Nothobranchius furzeri: one gene and its partner. The protein of the gene in region 1 purifies or fractionates together with the protein of each later gene. This does not show direct contact. Links are inferred from orthologs where the notes say so. Each region holds a gene or a part of one and is shown in the gene's direction. Other genes may lie near its edges.

Region 1 (4,017 bases):
CTTATTGGTCATAAGTAGAGGTAATATATAGAGCTCTTAAAGCACTTCATTTACCACTCTACGTGTGTGTGTGTGTGTGTGTGTGTGTGTGTGTGTGTGTGTGTGTGTGTGTGTGTGTGTGTGTGTGTGTGTGTGTGTGTGTGAATGCTTTCAGGCATAAGGTAATACATTAGTTAATAGGATTAAAGTACTGGAATATAAAATTTCCGTAACAAACTGTGAGTGTAAGATTTTTTTATGTGTGACTGAAGTCATGCATTTTGTGTACTTGTACCCAATATTTTGAACTGGTGTATCTGTTGTTTTTGTACCTGTGAAAGATGTGATTTTTCTAAATATTTCTCTGTGACTTCAAGTTCCCAGGGATAAAAACACAAATGTTATTGCACCAAATATCTCCATAAGGATACGAGCTTCTGGACTTTTGCCTCAGCCAGGCTCATGGATGCGTCACCACCATCGACACACACATAGGTCGCCACATTGGAGACAGGAACAAGCACTATTCAGCCAAAGTTTCGTAACCAGGGAACATTTTCTAAGTGACAAGTCTCTCTGAGAGACCGGGTTTAGAAAACACTCGCTTCAGTGGGAGGAGTGAGTCTGTATGAGGCAACAGTCCAGAAGCTCATATCCTCTTCAGCTCAGAAAACTCCTATAGAGACATTTGTTGTTTGTTGTTTGTATTCATTCTAAGTGAGATAATTTAATTATAACGTTCTGGACACACTGGTCAGGTTGTTTAGACCGGTGCTTGAAGTGCAAAACACACACACACATAGCTGCCGGCAAAATTGTTTTCATTATTATGTTATTATTATAATTTCGGGTCTTTATCATTTTTGTTAATTTTAAAAGATGGCAATGTTGATGTTTAAAATTGGCATACAGATAAAAAAGAATGATGTAAAATAAAATACATTTTAAATAAATATTCATTAATTATTTTACAAGCACAGAGAGGCGCATGGGCATCAAATGGATGAAAGAGCCGACCCCTGGTCAACGGTAATCCCAGTTTAAATCCTGTACTGATGTATCAAAGTAGACTACTCATCAGAGATTAGAGGATGTGTTTTTATAATAATATAATATAATAATAATAAAATTATAATAATAATAATATAATAATAATAATAATAATATGATGATAATAATAATAATACAATTTTATTGGCTGATACTGAATGAGCGCTCTTCGCTTCCAGTCCAGAAGGTGGCGCTAGTGAACCTTTGCTTTTCTTTGTTTAACACCAGAAGAAGCGGCTCCGCGGTGTCAACATGGCCGAGCCAGAGTATGTATCTGTTTTCAATGCCATCGCGGTGCATCCGCCTTAGTTTCAGCTGTAATTAAACTCATCTGATGTTTATTATGTAGCGCAGCTGTTAACAGGCCAGCTCAGGTGTGTATGTGTGGCTTAGACGGCCAGGAAGCCGCCGATAGTGAGTTTTAGTCTCACATGGATGGGTTCGTGTTTATGTTTAGACGCTGAAGCCGGTTTACAAAGTTCCGGTGAAAACGTTAAAATGTTTCCGCTGGACGGATCCGACAGCGACAGCCTCCTCTTGTCTGAGTTGTTGTGTGGTTTTCCATCAGGTCTGAGAAGGTGATCAAGCTAGTTCCTGAGTTTCTCCTGAAGAAAAGGAAAACCTACCAGGCGATCAAAGCCACCCAGGCTAAGCTAGCTCTGCTGGAGAAGAGAAGGGTAAAGTGTGTGTGTGTGTGTGTGTGTGTGTGTGTGTGTGTGTGTGTGTGTGTGTGTGTGTGTGTCCCGATCAGTTCTTTTGCCCAGGAATCCGAGTCATTTGATTTTTTTGATAATCTGCCGATATGAGTCCCGATCCGATACATTCGGTAAAAAAATAAACAGATCCAGAATGTTCTTTAGTTTTTCTTTAATTAACCTTATTTTATCATTCAACAATTCTGTTTAAAAAAGAATCACTTCTGGGAGATATTTTGAACAATCAAGTAATAAATACAGTGTTTCCCTTAAAAATCTCTCCAGCTGTGGTGTGTGTGTGTGTGTGTGTGTGTGTGTGTGTGTGTAAAACACTGAAATGACAAATTCTTCACTTTTGGGCTTTAGTGCAAATATATAAAAGTCTAATATAAACCCTCAGGATTTCCCTCCCATCCCTTCTGTCGAAGCCTGTGGGAGTGTCCCATCTCTGGACCTCAAAGGTTCTGGGCTAGTTCAGCGCTGGTCCTCACACATGAAAGACAAACGTGTGTGTTCCTGATTCTAATCTGTACTCCTGGTTTCTGTAGATCTCAAAAGGAAAGCCTTTAAAGTTCAAGCGTTTGGAGGACTTCCTGAAAGACAGCCACAAGAAGCATCGTGATGACACTCGCCTCCAGAGGGCACACCACAGGCCACCTGCCCCGCTGCCGTCGGCCAAGAACAAACTGGCCTTCGTTGTTCGCATCAGAATGTGAGTGTCTGTCCAACGGGTGAGCGTGGTGGTTAGGGCAGTCTCTCTCTCTCTCTCTCACATACTGGGCGACGGTGGCACAGGAGTTAAGAGCTCGCCCTGTAATCGGAAGGTTGCAGGTTTGAGCCCCGCTCAGTCTGTCGCTGTCGTTGTGTCCTTGGGCAAGACACTTAACCCACCTAGCCTGCTGGTGGTGGTCAGAGGGACCGGTGGCGCCAGTGCTCGGCAGCCTCGCCTCTGTCAGTGTGACCCAGGGCAGCTGTGGCTACATCGTAGCTCATCCCCACCAGTGTGTGAATGGGTGAATGACTGATTGTGTTGTAAAGCGCCTTGGGGGGCTCCAGGACTCTAGAAGGCGCTATATCAAATACAGGCCATTTACCATTTACTCACTCACTCTCCCTCTCCACCTGTACAGTGTGTTTCCAGGTTGCTGAGATCAGCTGGTATAGAGACTGGCAAGGTTGGCAACTTGTTGACGTTGGTGAACAGGGACGCCGAACATAGCTCAAAACATAGCAAATGTATGGTAATGGTGATATATATCGGCATGTTGTACGGCTGGGCCATACGGCCTAAAATCAATCTCACGATATATTGCAGATTTCACTTCCATGTCAGTAAATGGGCTCTAGGGAGATTTTCTAATGGCAAATGCTGCGATTTGACTGGCAGCGAGTGGTTAGCCCAATGCTAATATACATGGAAAAACCCATAGGGATGCTAATATTGTCGATTACATTCTTACAAATTATGAATTAGAAATGTGCCAAGTGATTTGGAGTCTAATAAAAAGTAAAAAATACGTTCTGGTTCTGGCAGGGTCAAAGGTGTCAGCCCCAAAGTCATGAAGGTGATCCAGATGATGAGGCTGAGGAAGATCTTCAGCGGAGCCTTCATCAAGATCAACCAGACGTCCGTCTCCATGATGAGGATGGTGGAGCCCTACGTGGCGTGGGGGTGAGGCTTTCTGACTGCTGGGTCGGTAGGTTTGGTTCTGTGTCGCTCTGGGTGATGAACACTACCTTTCCCAGATATCCCAACCTGAAGTCAGTCCGGGAGCTCGTCCTGAAGAGAGGCCAGACCAGGATCGGCAGGAGAAGGGTTCCTCTGACAGACAACAACTTCATAGAGCAGCACATGGGTGCGTCACACTGCCCTGAGCTCCAGCTGGGAACACACACACACACCACACACACATCACACACACACACAGCGAGGCGCTGCGGATGGTTCACCAGGCTAGAGGACAGTCGCGTCAAAAGCACTTGCATTCATTATTTAAGTAAAGGTACAGACACGAGGGTTTTAAAGGACTTGTAGAAGTTCAAGCATCAATTCAAGCTTTTTATTCAAGTCAAATTATAAAAGTACTGGTTTCAAAACTACATCAAGTAAAAAAGTAGTAGTAACATTAATAAGCTTGGGTCACGTCCACCCACAGGACAACAGAGTTACCAGCAAAAGCACCTGGTTCTCAAAGTTCTTTCAGCCCTGCAACAATACGTGTGTGTGTGTGTCTGTGTGCGTGTGCGTGTGTGTGTGTGTGTGTCCGTGTGCGTGTGTGTGTGTGTGTGTCGC
Region 2 (3,994 bases), on another chromosome or scaffold:
AAGAGACTGCAGGCACTGATTTATGTCAGCAGGTCATGATGTGCATTGAGGAATAAAACATACGAGAAGCTAAATTATCATAATAAATAGCCTTTCTTCTAATAGAAATAATCTAACCTCACATTCAAATGTGTGATTAGGAGTTTAATCAAATAACATTTCTTTAAACAGTCGAACATTTGTTTAAATTGAACACGGACACTAAATAATTAAACTTAAACATGGTCAATCAGTCATATGATGGCTGCCATAAAGGTAGAAAAGAGCTGCCACAAAAGCAGAGATGTCCAAACAAATAGAACTGTTTTTGTTTTAGGGGCATTGCTGCTTGGACGCTAACCCTGACACCACACATGGGAGTTGTGAAAAAAAATTAACAAAGGTGTATCCTTTAAAGTGTTGAGATCACCGCTGTGTTTTGTCTTCCATCTTTACTTGTGTCAGCTTTTAAAAACACAAGACAAACGTAAGATTGTGTATTAGCTAGGATGAATATAAAAAATAAAACAAAACACTACAGACACATTTACAGGTAAACATAAAGATCATTTACTTCTGATTTTATACAGGAAGAACAGTCTTGACCTGTCACCTAAAAGATGCGTTCTAGTGTGTGTGTGTGTGCAAAACAGAATAAAATAATTATTTTTGACTTACAGAAACCAAACTGTGAGCCAAGGAAGAGAACAAACCCATAAATAGCTCTCTCGGGGACAGGAGACGGAGAGTTTTCAACCATGATCTGAAACCAAACAGGAAGCAGAGGAAATAAGCAAGCAACACAAACCAGAGTCTAAAACATCCTTAAATACTTCTGTCATCTTACCTCAGTTCATAAAATTTCCGAATTTTCACAACATTTGTGCCCCTACGTTTCTAAATAACGAGTAAATAAAGCTGGATTTCTAAAATAATACTAACAGGAAACATTTCCAACAAAACCTAAGAACAGCTGCGAGTTTGCACCAGCGTTAGTTCGGTCGGAAAAATTTCCCGGGTAAGCAGTTCCGCTTTTGATACACTAGACAAAAATATGACATCAAATTAAATTGTTTGAAGATTTACTAATTTATATGATTTAGTACATATTTACAGAAAATAAACATTTGAATATTAGAGTGCTTTCAAACTATGTAGAACGTTTCATACTGGGATGTCTTGTTCATATCGGACCCATTTGGCTGTTGCTCAGCCGGGAAAACGAACGCAGCATGGCTTCGGAATTTGCGAACTGAACGCAGAACCACGTTTATCTGCTGTTCTGTAAAAAATGAGCTGCTTGTTTACGTTAGTGTTTTATTTTTGATGCAGATTTTTGGTAAGGAGACATTACTTTAAGTGACAGCGGTAACAGCCATTGTCTATTGTTTTTGAAATGTCAGCATGGCTGACAACGTTTAGTTTAACAACTTCTTGTTAAAAAACACTTTCCATAATGTCTAAGGCGAAGAAGAAGAAAGCACATTCTGACCCTAAATCCACAGCTAAAGTTAAGAGGAAGGAGTTTTGGATAAAACACAACTCGAAAAACAAATTTCAGAAGATTTCAGCTCCTCAGAAGCACCAACCTCACCTGCCTACACCTCCAGAGGAGGCTCAGCAGTTCTCCTCTAACTGGAAAGCTCTCCAAGAGGTTTGTCTGTGCATCAGTGTGATGCTGGTGTGTATTTACAAAGTTAATCTGATTTTTCTGAAACCTTCCACAGATGCTAAATGCCAGTAAGCCAGAGAAGAAGCTCCCTGTGTCACCCAAACAGAATGTCTTTCCAAAGAAAACTTTAAAAAATATTCCCAAGACTCCCAGTGAAAAAGACAATGAGACTAAAGTCAAGCACACAGTTGCTCCTAAATTTGCCATTCAAAAGGAATCAGAGGTGAACTCTGATGTTCCAGCTGCCTCCAACACTCCGCAGCCAGCTGCTCCTAAAAGGAAACGGGACAAAGGAAAGTCCAACAGCGAGCAGAAAGCCAAGAGGAATAAACCAGTGGTAGAGGAGAGGAAGCCTACAGAGTGTGTACACCGTACTGATTTTAGAAGACATTGTGGACCAGAGTAGTTTTGTATTCCTAACTCTTTATTGTGTTTTGTTGCAGGGACGATCTTTGGTTCGATGATGTAGATCCTGATGATGCTGAGGAGACGTTGGGAGCAGAAGCTGCAGAGATCCTGAGGAGGAAACAGGGCAAACACCAGAGCAAAGACACAGAGAGCATGCTGGTGAAGGAGAAGTGTTTTGAGGGGTGAGTAGCTGTAAAAACAAGCTTCCTCTAGTGTGAACGCTGGACAGGACTTTATTTCCAGGATATGACTGACCACACGTTGTGTGAAACATTTAAAGTTTAAAAGGAAATTTTTTCAAGTTTGGCGCTAAAAGCTAAAGTGTAGTCATTGGTGGACACCCATTCCAAATTCATTCCTTAAATTTTGGATTTATGACTAGAACCACAAGTACTAGAATAGACTGTGCTGAGTATCAAAATAAATACTAAACCCAGGACCTTCTTGCTGCAAGGCAACTGCTCTATGTATACACATTTTAAGAAATAAAAAAAGAAGTAAAATAAAAAAATCTAGTCGAGCAGTGATGGGAATAACAATGTTTAAAATAACGGCATTACTAAAAAAATAGTTTTTTTTAATAACGAGTAATCTAATTATCGTCTTCTTTTATCATAACGCCGTTTACGTTACTGATAAGAAAATGCGAGCGTTAGTAATTCAGCAGCGTGGTGTGTTGAAGCTGTCAGCTGCTCGGGAGCTGAAGAGGCGGATGTTTTAATCCAAGTGCATCACGACCCGTGAAGAACGAGGAAGACGTGATGAATAGTCTACGGCTGCAGATCCGCAGATTCGCTGCTGCAGGCGTGAATCTGCAGCCGTGCCCTTCTTGCCGTGACAGCGGGACGTCCCGAAGGTCCGCTCACCTGTTCACCGCTCGGACATCACGATCTTCTACCTTCCTAGATCACCCAACTGTAACTTGTTTCTGCTCATTTCTTTAGCCCTGCTGTAACACTGATGCATCAGTCTCAGACGTCATGGTGCTCAGGTGTTATTAGAACTACCTGTGTGTCTTTACCACCCAGCTTCTGTGTTTGGGTCTGATCCAAATTAGTAAATTTAAGTCCTCCATCAGATTTGTGCCACTTCTAGTGCCATTTTAAAGGATTTATTTATTTATTTAACCATTACTAGATTACCAGCAACAGAAATGCTGCTAAAAACACACAATCATGTCAAGCTGGAAAAATGAGAATATTTTGCAAAATTACATTTATTACAGTAATTTGACTAGACTGAGAGACCATTTAAAGGCTCAGTAACCTTTACAGGTGTTTCTGTTTGCAATTATAAACTTTAGCTGATTGGGGTCTGGTTAAATATCACACAGTGACATTTTAATATTCTAGATTGGTGTAATATTCCTGTTTGTAGTTCCTCCTGTTAAGAGCCCATTTATTTAAATGATCCAGTTTTATAACAAACATTTGGACATATAATTTATTATGTTCCAGTCATTAGTCAGTTATAGTTTAGTATTGTAGTAATTTATAGTAAACTAAGTAAGTTTAATTAAGAGGGGAACCCATTTATCTTGCATTCTTTAATGAAAAAATGCAACAAAAATTTTTTTTTTTGGTAATTAGTTACTTTTATAATCTTGTAATTCGGTAAGTAACTGAGTTATTTTTTTGACAAAGTAAACAGTAACTATAACTAATTACCTTTTTAAAGTAACGTTCCCAACACTGGACATAGGTACCTACTGATGCATTTTATTTAAAATTTACTTGCCCGTGTGTAATTTGGTCATACCAGATTCAGTATTTATGCAAAAATAAGGTTGTTTCCAAATGAAAAGGTTCAACAGCTAGATCTGAGACCATGGTCTTGAGTCAGAAAAGGGTAGAATCCCTTTTCCGGGTCAGGGATGAGGTCCTGCCCCAAGTGGAGGAGTTTAAGTATCTCAGGGTCTTGTTCACGAGTGAGGGA

The links. Proteins that work in one complex are often made in the same cells at the same time.
Region 2: the proteins of rpl7l1 (region 1) and rexo4 purify together in Homo sapiens (affinity purification with mass spectrometry; 3 studies listed by BioGRID and IntAct, with this or other methods). This does not show direct contact. The link is inferred for Nothobranchius furzeri from reciprocal best matches to the Homo sapiens genes RPL7L1 and REXO4.

Annotation. Positions count from the first base shown.
Region 1 is NC_091742.1:28,214,902-28,218,918, reverse strand, and holds the start of rpl7l1 (60S ribosomal protein L7-like 1), read left to right. Parts: upstream 1-1,217; 5' UTR 1,218-1,281; coding exon 1,282-1,295; intron 1,296-1,597; coding exon 1,598-1,706; intron 1,707-2,272; coding exon 2,273-2,436; intron 2,437-3,258; coding exon 3,259-3,396; intron 3,397-3,470; coding exon 3,471-3,580; intron 3,581-4,017.
Region 2 is NC_091756.1:33,915,092-33,919,085, reverse strand, and holds the start of rexo4 (RNA exonuclease 4), read left to right. Parts: upstream 1-1,194; 5' UTR 1,195-1,435; coding exon 1,436-1,633; intron 1,634-1,706; coding exon 1,707-2,011; intron 2,012-2,094; coding exon 2,095-2,241; intron 2,242-3,994. Other genes in the region: pigp (phosphatidylinositol N-acetylglucosaminyltransferase subunit P), read right to left, coding at 658-739.